Linked DNA regions of Mytilus edulis. The protein of the gene in region 1 interacts with the protein of each later gene in a pairwise test. Links are inferred from orthologs where the notes say so. Each region holds a gene or a part of one and is shown in the gene's direction. Other genes may lie near its edges.

What was found. The genes of interacting proteins can lie anywhere in the genome.
Region 2: the proteins of apoptotic chromatin condensation inducer in the nucleus-like (region 1) and apoptosis inhibitor 5-like interact in a two-hybrid assay, tested with the Drosophila melanogaster proteins (2 studies listed by BioGRID). The link is inferred for Mytilus edulis from reciprocal best matches to the Drosophila melanogaster genes Acn and cass.

Annotation. Positions count from the first base shown.
Region 1 is NC_092348.1:35,036,139-35,043,377, reverse strand, and holds the start of apoptotic chromatin condensation inducer in the nucleus-like, read left to right. Parts: upstream 1-4,238; 5' UTR 4,239-4,248; coding exon 4,249-4,395; intron 4,396-4,816; coding exon 4,817-4,856; intron 4,857-5,367; coding exon 5,368-5,399; intron 5,400-7,239. Other genes in the region: VPS9 domain-containing protein 1-like, read right to left, coding at 2,948-3,020, 3,906-3,989.
Region 2 is NC_092350.1:89,949,004-89,956,681, forward strand, and holds the start of apoptosis inhibitor 5-like, read left to right. Parts: upstream 1-4,594; 5' UTR 4,595-4,681; coding exon 4,682-4,750; intron 4,751-7,678. UniProt on the Drosophila melanogaster protein: Antiapoptotic factor. Also known to efficiently suppress E2F1-induced apoptosis.

The DNA of each region.
Region 1 (7,239 bases):
CCTTTATTTGACACAACTGTATTCATACATCCAGCACAGTCCAATAGATGCACAAAGATTGGTTGTTTATATTGGTTTTTGTTTATCTAAAGAACATTGCACAACTCCTTATGGTTGTTAAAACTTCCAAAGAATATACCATACTACTAGTATCCCTCATAAATATAATCTTACATCCCCAGTTTGACTTTTAATAAATGAGACTGTATTTACACATTCAACAAAATTCATAGATAGAATATTAAAATAATGATTTTAAGAAATTTTCACAATGACTTTAACAGGTCAGGAACACTACCTTATACAGAAATGAATTAATTAGCATAAAATTGAGAATGGAAATGGGGAATGTGCCAAAGAGACAACAACCCGACCATAGAGCAGACTACAGCAGAAGGTTACCAACAGGTCTTCAATGCAACGAGAAATTCTCACACCCGGAGAATATATATTTATGTCCTTGCAATACGCAGCAAATGTTATTGTTTATTTACGTGTGACGCAATTTATTTTTTCCTGGGTTTTTGACCAATCCACTAAATGAGTAACAATGCATGATGGACTACTACGTGTTTACAATCAACCAAACATGCGTGTTATTTATTAAAATACAACTTATTTTTTGTTCAATGTGGGATTAACAATTTCGCTTAGTTTTTCATTTTTTGTATCCACATTTATAGTTCAGGATATAAAGTATTCGTTCAATGCTCAGATTAACAAAGAGTTGTTTCTATGCCAAGAAACAAGTGTTTGAATTACCCGATGTACAGCCATTAATATGTTTGATGATGACACCGAGATTTCAGGTATTCGTCCACCAGACAGCAGCGAAACAACAGTGAAAAACACAATTACCCATCAGACTAACTTACTAGTATAAAGTAAGCCGTCAAAACTAGCCGGTGCTAATATGCATGAGGGCAGCAAATTTTGTATACTGGAAGATAGTTAAAGAAAAATATATGATCCTTGAATTTTGTGTTCGTAAAAAGGCGAAGACTAGGAGTTTGTCAAAGATCTGATGAGATCACAAAACTTTCTAAGTTTTCACAAAATTTATTTTATGATATTGTACCTTCTTTTATGATTAAAAAGTAATTTAAATCGAGGAAAAGCATGTGTTTATTCCTTTGTCTTTAAGAAACAACAACGAATATTCATCAATAGGCCGAATAGGGACCAATTATACGGTATGGGTGTTTCTCATTGTTGAAGGCATTACAGATGCCCATCACTACTTACATCCATTTCATTTGAGCTTAAATGTATAGTTGTCCCATTGGCAATCATACCACATCTCCTTATTTTTGTATACAAACATTTTTCAGAAAGTTCGGTTTTCCCTTATGAAATATTTACTGACGTCTGTAGAACACTTAAGTAATATTTCCATATTGAGAATTTTAGCGATACAGAACATGCACAAAACCTATATGATCCATCATATTTCATTAAAACTGCACAAGATCTTTTTAAATTCTTGTCTGACAGTTTTAACAAAAACTATAGGTATAATTGATTTTTGACATATTTCAGTATTTGGGACTTTCAAACTTTTCCTTTTGTTCTGTAGGTAGTGAAGCAGCAACTGAGTTTCATTTTGTTTTTCGTCTTTACAAAGTTCAATTTTTTTCTAATAGCAACATTGGATTTTTTTTAACGGACTCTTACATTTGCCAACCTTATTAAAACCATTAATGATGCTATTCATTTTATGTGCGACAAAGTGGAAGCATTGATATGTTTTGTTAAAATTGCATTCTTTTACACAAGTAAATTTTGGTCCCTTTATAGCTTACTTTTCAACATTGAACCAATAGTTGCTTACTTTACTAGATTGTGTCTTGGATGGAAAGATGTCTCATTTGGCACTCATACCTCATCTTCTTAGTTCTATATGCACGGCATGTTTCAGAAAAACTTATAGGTAATATGGAACCCACTATGATCCAGAGGATTTAAATAATTGGAGATTTTGACGTCGTTTGGACAGCAGCCAAACGATAAGAATACCTCTGAGGTATATTTTGGGATTAAATAAGCAACAGACAGACATTATCGATGGATGAAACTATACAAAGTACATGTATGTTAAGTTATTTACCGTCACCGCTTTAATAACACTTATATCTAGCATACTGAATATTATGGTGCTCTTACTTTTAGTTCAGGTCCTGATAAAAAAAAGTTTACACATCCAGTACAGATAGAAGTGTTTCAGTGCCAGTTTTCATGTTTTTCTACACAGAAATGTTTTTGGAATGACATTATACAGGTTTAAAAGAGCTCAAAAATTGTTCATACTAGACAGTGGTCAATTCATCTAAAATTTCACTGTTTCACGCCGTGAAATTATTGCACAAGTACAATGCATAACAATGGAAAAAACCTGTTCAACTACTTTTACAAGGCGAAAAGGAAAGTCGAATCATGAAGCCTGTAAACAATATTTTTTTAATCTGAGCATGCAAATTGAAGATTATGTTATATATTTTACAATAAACATATTCGTAGACCAAAAACATTTATTTTCAGAGTCCCAGACACTATGTTAGTGGACAGTTTTTCCACTAATTCCACATGTTTTCAAATGGTGTAGACTCATAGTAGCCCACAATGCATTGTAGTTCATTGAGTCAATTGGTCAGTTTTTCAAGGCCGTATTGGCCTTGTGTTTTGGAAATTACTATGCAAATATATTTGGACGTCAGGAAATCTAGAGTTCTCGACCTGTTAAAGATAGGGACACTTATAAAAGCACTTTTGTTTATTTTCAAATGTCTTATGTCATGAATTATATTCCTTCTTTTCCATATGATTAGGTGACTAAGGTGGGCATATTAGTAAAGCCTTCATGCTAACCATACTGTAACACTCAACAATCATACATTGTCATATCACAGTTTATAAAATAGAATACAGGGATCATATATATCAACTCTACCTCCAAGTCTAGCATCTTGTAGCAACTTTGTACTAATTCTCAAAACACATTCTAAATACTTCATATATGATTCCTAAAAAAAAATCATTGATACTTTTAAATGAACATGATGAATATATAAATGTTTATGTATAAGTATGTATAACTCTTCTTAACATCAGCCCAATAATGTTAGATCTGTAAATTTAACTTTCACAATTTTTTTTATCTTCCCTTGCCAGGATTTCGAAATTCATGCCACTGAGATATTGTGGCACCAAATTTGCCTTGCACTATGCCATAAGGGCTAGACCACACAACCACCTAGGCTCTACAAATAATAAAGCTTTTGGTGGCATGGTGTTACCTTTCCTTGTCAGTTTTAATCTAGCGTCGTAACACAGTACATGATATAAAAGGCATGAAGATGGAATTGTTACAGATCTGACAGCTGATTTATCTATTGTAAAAGATCATACAAATTAATGTAAGATGTTATCACAGAGATAATTGTATCAAAAGTATGTCTGGACCACTGACCACTCTACAATCCCCACGAAGTTCAGCATTTTTGTGGTTTCACTTTTCCTAAACCTTTATGCTAAATCACCAGAAATTTGTTTCATATGACTTTAGAATTTTCAAGTAACAAGACAAGATGTCTGATGACACAAAGAAGTTTTGGCTGTTGTATGAGGCCAATGGTCATGATGGTCAAGTGTAACAGAATATGTAATATTCCACCATGTCCACTATTATTGTTGAAGCCATAAGGTTTGAATGGCATAGTCTAGACTGTGTCAGCAGTAACAGGGGCAAGTTGAAACTGACAGAGCATGGCAGAAATTTAAAGAAACTTTAAATTTTGTAAATTCAATGTACATGTTTCCTCATAAATCATTCAACTGTTCAACAGTTGGTTTGTGATTACTAATTGAACTTTGGAAATGATCACAAACTTCACAGTTATCATATATACTTGAACTTTTCCGTCTCCATCTAGCTTTAACGCATCTGCTACTGTTCTCATCACTGTTGTGATTGTCGTATTTACAGCTGTCATCCTCAATATTCGTTTGTATTTAAACAGATTATTGTTTTAGGGCACCTGCAGCTTCATTTATTTTGCAGACAGCTTTTTGTCACTTCCGGGATACGGAAACTATCGACAGACAAAAGAAATTTAAATGTAGTATTTTTTTCTAAGTAGGCACAATTGTATAAAGAATTCACTGTGTTTTTACTTTATTTAATTTAATTGAAACTTATAATGAATAAAAAATAACAGTAATTTTCACTATTACGGAAATCAACGACAGCACATGTCAACAATGGCGGACACTGATGCTCCGACTTTAAGGGGAAAAGACATAAATGACTATCGCGTGGTAGATTTGAAGAAAGAATGTGATAAAAGGGGTCTTTCTAAGAGTGGAAAAAAGGAAGATATTGTAGAGAGACTCAGAACGGTAATGCAAAATAAACCGTATGAATATAGCATCTGAAAAATGTATCAGGTGTATCAAAGTGATTCAAACAAAATATTAAAAAAATCAAAATATAATTTGCTGTAGCGGCTAGCCTGTAGTTTTTGGTATTTCAAAAAGCTATGTTCATCATTCTATATCTGTCACACTTTTACCTTGTTAAAGTACAGTTTAAAATGTCAGTAATAATTGTAGTCGAAGCCAAAATTGTTACCCAAGGGAGATAATTCTTAAATTATAGACTAAAAAATGGAAAAAAAAACAATAAATATCTCTTTTAAAGAAAGTCAAAGCACTAACAATGTCGGCTTGATTCTGTTGTTTTTTTCTTGGTTTTAGAACTTGTGACAATCACTTTATAATATGGTTTACTACCATGCTCATTTGTCTTCGTTTATTTCAGTTCCTACGAGAAGAACAGGAGACAGATGAAAATCCTGAAAGTAAGTAACTGGTAGAATGATTGTTTGTAATGACTTTTCTTTATTTGCATACAAAAGAACATTTAGAATAACTTTCTGGCAGCTTGAATTAGGAGATTTATACAGTATATTATGTAAATTTTACTCCATTGATTAAACTTTTTTTTACCAGAACCAATTAGCAACAATTAGATTATTACTTTTACACAAATCAATACTCATATAACATGTACAATATGTAGTGAGATGGATCATCAAATGTATTATCCAAAATAAAGATAACTAGATGATTCCAATCAGAAAACAGTCCATCACAGGAAAGGGTGTAAAAAAACTAAATATCACCATACAGTGTTCATAAATTTTGCCATGTACAAATAAAAAGCTAAAAAGGTCCTGGAATGAAACCTCTAGAAAAAGACAGTACAATGATAAGAATCTCAGAAATAAATCCAGATTCTTATTGTATATTTATATTTTGTTGAATGCCACATGTATTATATTGTTTAAGTATTGTTTTCTTTCTTTCTAGATCAAGATGATAATGAGCCAATAAATGCAGTGGTAAGAAAAATCAGTACTCCAATAAAACTACAAGTTTACTGTTACCATAAGGACTTATTCTTCATATCTTATTATTGCCTTGAAATTAATGGTTGTGGATGTGAATGGATTAATTCTAATAATCATTAAAACAATTATCAACAAATTCAGTACAAGTCTGAAGGATAGAGCTAAAATATAGAGAAAATCCAAACATACTTTTTCATTTATTTCACGCAAAGTCATCTTGTGGAAACAGATCTATCTTTCAATCATAGACACAACAATAACTGCAAAAAACAAATGATTATCAACAAACGAACTGACTAAACACGTTCATCTTTTCTCATTATCAAATATAGATGAAAACTACAAAACTGTAATATCAGAAATATAACAAATTATGTATGTTGATTTGCACAAACTGATTCCAATCATCTTTTTATGGAATACTCTTAACATGATTTAGTTAAAAATAATTTTCTTGACTTGAAGTTGGTGTTGAGTCAAACATGGATGGGGAGATTGCACATTTTAATTAATAACCATTATATATATGACATTTAAAAAAAATTCATAAAATAGAAAATTGAAATGGGGAATGTGTGAAAAAGACAACAACAGGGTTCGACAGCCCGAGACTAGTTACTTTTGTGTGGGGCTAGTAAATGTCCGTGGCGCGGTAGCCCGAGGGGCTAGTAAATTTATTTGTCATTGAACATCAATCTGTTGTACTTTCGGCAAATACAGTCCAAACGCCGGTCATATCTGACAACTTCGTCGAATTTTGTCTACACTGGTTCCATGACCTCTTTATTTACATACAGATACAGATACTGGAGGGTAAATTTTCTACCGTAAACCAGTCGCTATATATAGTCAACTCGGCCTAAGATTACTCGGCCCATAAAGTAAGAATGCACCACGTTTCAAGATAATCCGTTTTGAAATAAACATTAATTATACAGCATATACATTTTGGTTTTATTATATTTTATTAATAATCACATCAGAGATCCTGATAAATCGTGTGCATAGTTTAGCCTTATCTATTACATAGTCGTCGTGTAAATAGTTTAAATTGGAAATGCCCTTTCGTTCTTAAAATAGAGCATTGAAAGGTTCCCTGTTGAAATTTTCCTTTACTCCAAAGGTACACGTGGTGATGAAAACTTTTCGATCTTCTCTGTCTTTATAGAATTAGCGTTTGTCATGTCGTCATAATTCTTTTCGTATTGCTCGGGATTTATCATTACAGTTGCAATGGACTGAAACGAAAGTAAATTTCCGGTAATAATATTAAATGTGATTAGCTTCTTTTTGAGAGCTGAGGGGTGATGATGATAACAAGACTAAGGCATTGGTATCAGAAAGCGTCCATTGCACGTACCGGGATGTATGCATGTCATAATGCATTAACAAGAACAGGGTTAATACTCGTCATGAGACAAATCAGTTGGAACATGACTCAGCATCAGAAACCAAAAGTAAAATAGGGGACAAGTCAACTTATTTATGTAAATAAAATTAAACAAAAACATCGTTTTAATTTGATTATTTTAGTTGATGAGTTTTTTGTAAGCCAAAAAAGTGTCCCATGAAATTGTGTCTTCTGTGAAATTTCGTTCACGGGACAGAATAACACATTTTTAAATTGAAATTTAAATCAGGACAACAGAGATGTAAACAAAAATGGAAATTGGTGAATATAAACAGCTATATGACTTTTTGTGTGATGGTCAATACCCTCTAGAGTTTGATATTATAATAATGAAAGAAGATCATTTAGAAGGCAGGCCAAGCAATTTGTAATTAAAAACAATGAAATGTTTTATACATGTTGACAAAAAAAAAAACACTG
Region 2 (7,678 bases), on another chromosome or scaffold:
TTATTTTTCAAATTCATTATCGAATCTTGAAATATAAAAAATAAATAAAGAATGCACGTTAGCAAGGTTTTCCAAAGAAATGCATTAACCGGACGGTTTATTTAGTTATTGCACTACCCTACAAATTCCCGTCGTTGACAGCTTCGTGTAGGAAAAGCACAGACGGAGAGGAGCTTAAACCAGTGCATAAACTTCCATCCCAGATGATGAGATGAGATGAGAGCTACCATTTGATTGTTAAGGGGAGCTAGGTTGAAATTTTGAAAAAAGACAGGAAGAAATACCTGCATGGCACAAAAAATAAAGGCAAGATGACAATTTGGGGGAAAAAAGAAACTCAGGATAAACTAATAAAAAAATGGGCAGGACAGAGATTTCAATTAAAAAAAAAAAAACGCAGGCCATTTTTTTTTATCCAAGCCCCTCCCCCTTCCCTAAATCAAATGGTAGCTCCCTAACATCTTCTGTAAAATTACAATTTACCATAAGTATAATAAAGAAGTTAAAATAAAGTGCTTTTTTTCAAAAAAAAGAGAGAAAAATCCCAAATTTACAAAACTTTTTAACCATTCTGAACTGTTAATAAAATTCAGAAAAGGGTAGACATCTTAAAAGATCCCTAGAGATCAGAGATATTGAAAATTCTGTAATGAGATAGAGGACGAAAAACACTTCTTTCTCAAATGCCCTAAATTTAACTTTTATAGAAAAAAAAAATTTGACTCCATTAAAATGAATTCGGAGTGGAAAGATACTGCTAAAGATGACATGCTTAAACTTATATATAAATTATTACTAAACCCCACGTCTCACAGTCAAATTAAAAATAAAGTTTCCTTTATAAGACAGTCATTAGAACTGAGGACGGGAGACTCAAAACAATAATTTGAACTGCTACATTTTGTATTTTAATATTGTACTGTTTATTTTTGTATATATGTTATGTTTGTCACAGATCATGTTTTTGATTTATATGGCAACACCTACGTTTTGCACATTTAAGCAAATGAAATATGTTTAAACTAAACACCTACCTATATTTTTTTGGAGTTAACTTTATTCAGATTGTCATCTTTAGTGAAAGCATTAAAAAAAGTTTAACTGTGAAACTGTCATATTTTTTTTCATGATAATAGCACAAGAATGTGTAAAAAATTATGAAAAAGGGAAAATCATCAAAATTGGTATTTTCAAATGGTTGAAGCAAAAAAAGAAGTGCACCACCATATGATTTTTCTTCATCAATTTGTTGACAGTCACTCAAACCCAAAAATCAGGTTAAGATTAAAAGTTTAATTCTAGAAAGGCTTTGGCTCCTCACTGCATGATAGGTGTATATCCTTACAATAAAATAAGATTGAAAAGTAACCATGATATTTCGCAAAATTTTAGAAAAAAAACCCACATTTGTATGTTGATTAACGCATATAATCCGTGTGCTATGAGGTCGGTCTTGATGTATTATAGTTAACAATGTCCAATTAGGCTAGCTATATAGGCGGCAGTTCATTCCAGTTTGTAATGGATCTTACGAAGAAACTATGTTTTTGTTTGTCAGTACTTGATCCTCATCTGACAAATCGTGTTTTATTATGCCCCATTTATGGCCATTATGTTTTCTGGTCTGTGCGTCCGTTCGTTCGTCTGTTCGCCCGTTATTCCATTCGTCCGCTCGCCCCGCTTCAGGCTACAGTTTTGGGTCGAGGTAGTTTTTGAAGAAGTTGAAGTCCAATCAACTTGAAACTTAGTACATATGTTCCCTATGAATATGATCTTTTCTTATTTCAATGCTAAATTAGAGATTTTCTCCCCTTTCCACGGTCCACTGAGTGTGTGTCCGAGCGAGAACTGCTCTAGTTCATTACTTTAGGAATATTTATCAAAAAGTAGTATTTCAATATTCAGCCCCATTCTACTATTTAGTCAGCCATCAGTCCTACCCTGATATACCCTATCTTTTTCGGGTAATTATATAACTTAAATTATTGTATGCTGGTTCATATTCTGGACGCCAATCTTTGCTCCTTTATTATAGAATTCACTAACAAAACAATTATGAAGCTTAGAAATGTTTCTTGTGTACAATTTGGAAATAAGTATGGCGTTCATTATCACTGGACTAGTATATATTTGTTTAGGGGCCAGCTGAAGGACGCCTCCGGGTGCGGGCATTTCTCGCTACATCATGTACATTGAAGACCTGTTGGTGACCCTCTGCTGTTGTTTTTTATTTGGTCGGGTTGTTGTCTCTTTGACACATTCCCCATTTCCATTCTCAATTTTATAGAAAATAATAGTGCAGATGGGGCATCCGTGTACCGGGGACATATTCTTGTTTTTTTTTATGGAAATGACGAGCCAGTCTTGCTACAAAAATTATGAAATTGGGATTGAAATTAGTTAGTTGAATGATTACTCACAATATGTTGTGAAAAAGGGGTCATGAGAGGTGATGTTTTTGTTTCTCCAGTAATCGGTCCTCTAAATAAACCAACCGGTAACTAAATGTCTGGCCAGTCTCGAGAATACTAATGCCTGATCAATATGGCTGCTCTCCTTTGGAGCTTATTAAATGTTTGTAGCATCTCCGTATAATACATATTTATTTGTGTGACATAAACAAGAATCAAACAAATTTTTCCACATTATGACGGCTTAAGTGTTTTTATTTGTTTAACAGGTGATATCCGAAGTTGGTATGCCACTTAGCTATTAAGATCTATTAACAGGATAAACTTCATGAGAAAAATACCAGAAATTGAACTATTAAACGGTGGCGAGACTTTGGGGGCGAATTGTCTTATGTTCGTTGGGCTGACCTCCTTCACCAAAAAAATGTCAAAAAAACAAATAAAGACAAATATTATCAAATGAAAAACGGCCTTATTAAAAAATTTTTTTATGTTTTACAGAATGAGACTAGTTATTATAACACTTGTAACAGGCCATTTAAGAGATATATAAATGATCATTAAGGTTGGGTCTCACTAATTAGCGACAACAAGCGTCAAGAAGCGACAACAAGCGACAAGAAGCGACAACAAAAATTATTTTAGCGACAACAAGCGACAAGAAGACTATTTAGCGACAAGAAAACATTTTTTTTTTATTAGATATAAAGAAATTTGTATTTAATGTTTTTTTTTTAAATTTTAAATATACGAGCAGATATGTCTAATTAAAATGTTTTATTATATAGATAGATGAAGAAATGAAACATTTGTGAGAAAGAAAGAGATTGTGAAGTTTATATTAGTATATTGGTAGATGAAGAAATTTAACATTTGTGAAAAAGAAAGAGATTGAGCTTCTTTTTTTTTTTTATTTTTAAATATGAAGAATATGTATAAGATAATGTAGATGTATCTGTTTTCATCAAAGTCAAAGTATGAATAAACGAATGGAGATATATATGGAGCGGGCATAATGGAATATAATATTTTGATTCATTTGCTTAATACTATGCTCTAAGTGTACTCTTGTTATGTCAATTCGATGCTTGCTTTATTTGTAGAACTCTCAGCCACGCTTTGCCATCTTTATTATTTAAGCGTGTTTCCAGACCCCACGACGAGGACGTGGTTCTACCTTGGGGTCCATATATTGAGCACGTACTTTTGTGAGAATAATACTGAAATGCTGACAATTTACTTTATACTAAACATAAAAGTTGAATTGCTTCAGTCAGCTTGGTAGAGTAAAGGAAATGCACACGCTACAAAATTGAAACAAAAACAAAAAAAAAAAGGTCAACTTTCCTTTGAAGGATTTATTGAAACAAAAACATGAAATATTATTTCCTTTCTAACAGTATAATTCATTGTTCTTGATAGGAACAACATTAGATGTGGCTTCATCCTAAGGTAATAACAGTACACACAATGTGGAACATCAAATGAGATTAACGAGTCGCGTGTCCCCTGTTTTATTGCTACAATAACATCCAATTAACACCTTCAACTTTGTACACACGTCAGACTATACAATTACACGCGCCAGAATATACAATCATTATAAATAGTGAACACCTGTTGAAAACTCAAGATTGTCATTAATTTCCTTTCATCTTCAATCAATATGCATAAACATGATAAATATCGTTTAATGAGGCAATAAATAAATAAAAAGATGAACACATTCACATTTCAATTTTCTTTTCCTCCTGTTTGGTTTCAGTTCTTTGTATTTCACAATTTGTGTCAATATTTTCAGGACAATGATGCACAAGTAATTCATTTTGCGAGCTTAATACATATTGCACGAAAAGAGTTTTTACAATAATTAAACGTAATACTGGCTGTTATTCATAATAGATGATAAAATATTATGTAAATAATGTTTCATTTTTTTCTATCAATTTTAACTTTCTTGTCGCTAAAATTATTTTCTTTTGCATGTTCTTTTAATATTTATTGCAATAATTAATTTTAATTAAAATAAAATGTTTTCTTGTCGCTAAATAGTTTCTTGTCGCTTGTTGTCGCTAAAATAATTCTTGTTGTCGCTTCTTGTCGCTTGTTGACGCTTGTTGTCGCTAAAATTCTTGTTGTCGCTAATTAGTGAGACCGTTAAGGTTTTATAAATCAACACTTTATTGTATCAGAATTTACTTCCGCCGGTAACCCACGCGCAAGGAAAACGTTTTCTATTCATTTCTACGAGTTGCTCCAAATATAAAGAAATGGTGACAGTAGAACAAATGTATAAAGACTTTGGTGTCTTGGCAGAGGCTAAAGACAAAGCCGGAGAGGTATAGCGTTATGAATCACTTTTATTCACGTTTCGTTACTAAAACAATACCAAATGTTATGAAGATGCAAACATTTATGATCTTGTTCATCTCCTTTTCAATAAATAAAAATTTAATATCTTCTGATTGGGAGATATGCTCACACATTTTAAACATGCTGTCCATAAAAATCTTGTTCTTAACTGGAGATATACAGTAAAACTCAGTAACTGGTTTAGACCTGTAGTCCAAATAATTATGAGGTTGCTATTCTATTTTTTTTCTACCTCTGGGTAGATTTTCTACGCCCAAATGATTACCAAGTCTTGCAAGGCGGCACATTTATAGAAATACATGTGTTTCCACTAATGCACTGAAAAAAAAAGGAAAGGTAGATAGGCAAAACATTTTTTTATCTGACTGTCTTTGAATTTAAGTTAACAATGTCAGTGATGCAATTGGTACGACTTTGTACCTCAAATGACCGAATAACACTTTTAATAACCAAATAACACTTGAAATTTTGATACTTTTTCATCTACTAGTACGGAAACTAATTATAATTTTTTTTCCTTATATGACTATTGCAAATTTTTCACTATAGTCGCCGTCAGCTGAAATTCGTAGGGGTTATCGGTAAAAATAATCTAACCTATCAATCGCGTTCACTCGAGATATAGTTTTTCACATTCCATTCATAAATCGCAAAAAAAAAACCACTACTGACCTACCTTTTAACAGGTTGGGAACAAACCCTCTATATGGTGATTATACCTGTATAGAGGGATAATCCTTCTATAGAGGGGTAAATTTATCCCTCTATAGAGGGGTATTTTTGTTTAGACTGGATTTAAATCAAAATAGGGCAGAATGGCATTCTCTACTTATTATGGCAGTAACCTGGAACAGTTGATGCACCAATTGATGTACTTAATTTAATATGCACATGCCCAGTTTGATGCTTATCTGACTAAATATAAAATCTATTGTTCACCATGATTGAAAGCTGTGATGATCAGGTAAATTCTACTCACTTATGCCTCACTGAACAGAATTTCTATTGTTCGATTTAACATGAAATTTAAAGGTCAACTATTCCTTTTGTTGTTGATCAGGTGTTCAGATAGGTATACAATACAGTGTTCTCCCCAGGCCCTTAAAGGACCACGGGCCCGCGATGTATAATTTTCTACCGCGGTGGTATCGTTCTTGCCGCGATGTATAATTTTTCTCCGTGGTGCTTAAGTTTTCGGTAAAAAAATCGTATCAAAATCGGTAAAGTTTCAGATGACTTCAACTTTCAGTGAGGATTAAAATTTTACATGAAAATTGACCAGTTCTAACCAGTTTAATCCAGTATTGACAAGTAGATTGTTTACACCACGTGATCGATTTACCTGTTGAGGTTAACCTTGATGATTGGATTTAATCGGTGTACATGATTCTCTTGTGTTTTAATTAATTAAGAGATCATATTTTTAATAACAGACTTGTAATAGGGGACAAGCAGACATTTGTTAATGAACTCTATTACGCCAGTCTTTAGTCAAAATAATTTGCCTGTTAGAAATTAATTGTGGAGTTACTTCCCCTGATTTTGCTTATTACAAATAAATGCTCCTCACACATAATTTCTCATTGAAAATTAGAATAAAGTACAAATTGAATGCAAAATTATATTAGAATGTTACATTAAGGATAAAAACTTTCGTAGAACATACCAACTAAAATGTTTTGCAAATTATTTTAGAGAATCATACCTTTATTGATACACAGACTTTTATATATAAGTGGTAGTAATTTTCAAATTGTAATGGATGTAAAGCTTAATGCCTAAATTTAATAGGAATAAAAATTTTAAAATTACATTCATATTTGAAATAAAATATTTTAACTATATATAAATAATTTAAAGTAAAAACTAATATGCATAAGAAAATAAATTAATTTGTTGTTGTTAAAAAGAATAGAAAGTTTTTAATTTACTGAAGATTCTGTATCAAAAATTAATCTTGTTCAAAGTTCATTGTTATGGTCAAATCTAACATGGGGAATGTGTAGTGTAACTACAAGTATTGGGACAAAATGGCTTGATCAAAATATAAGAAGTGACTTTAGTTTAAAGACTAATTGTGCTTTCTTTTCTTTTTCAAAGATATTAAAGTATACAAACTGTTTTATTGATTTACTTTTTCTACCAATAATGTTCTGACCCAAAGTCCATACAACACAGTACCATAGTAAACAAAACAAAGGCAAAAAGGTAATGACAAAAACTAACAAGAAAAAAATAAGCGACGCAACGCGACACACAATATTGTAAAATTCATTTCGTCACGCGTTACCCTGGTGCTATCCAAATATCCTGGGGAGAACACTGCAATAGATTGTAATTTTGTCACTTTAGCAGAAAACTGGTTATCCCAATTTTTAGTAAAGTGCATATGTTGATCAGTGCTCTAGCTAGAATTCAAAAGGGGCAGGGTGCCAGTGAAGGGCAGGGCACTTTTTTATGATAGGAGAAGGCACTGCTCATTTATTTTTGTCTACGTCCCTGCGTGTATCACGAGTTCACATATTTTTTTACTGTATATATTGTCAATAAAGATGCATAAGTTGTTGTTATGATTATTTATTCTATAAAATTTGCATAAGAAAAGTCATTCATACTACATGTTCATATAACATGGCAATACACATTCATACTATTAACCAAAAGAGGCAAAATAAACTTACTATTCTCCCCCACCCCCTCTCCTTCCAAAAAAATGAACATAAACTAAACATCTCATAGTTTACCATACATGTACATGACTGACAGAGTAATTGTATTTCAAAGAGTTTGGCCCTGTAAACTTTTTTTATTGTTTGTGTTTAGTAATATATTATTTGGTGTAGCTTCATCATGTTGATTTGTGATGAGAGTTTAACTACACACTTCCATTTCTG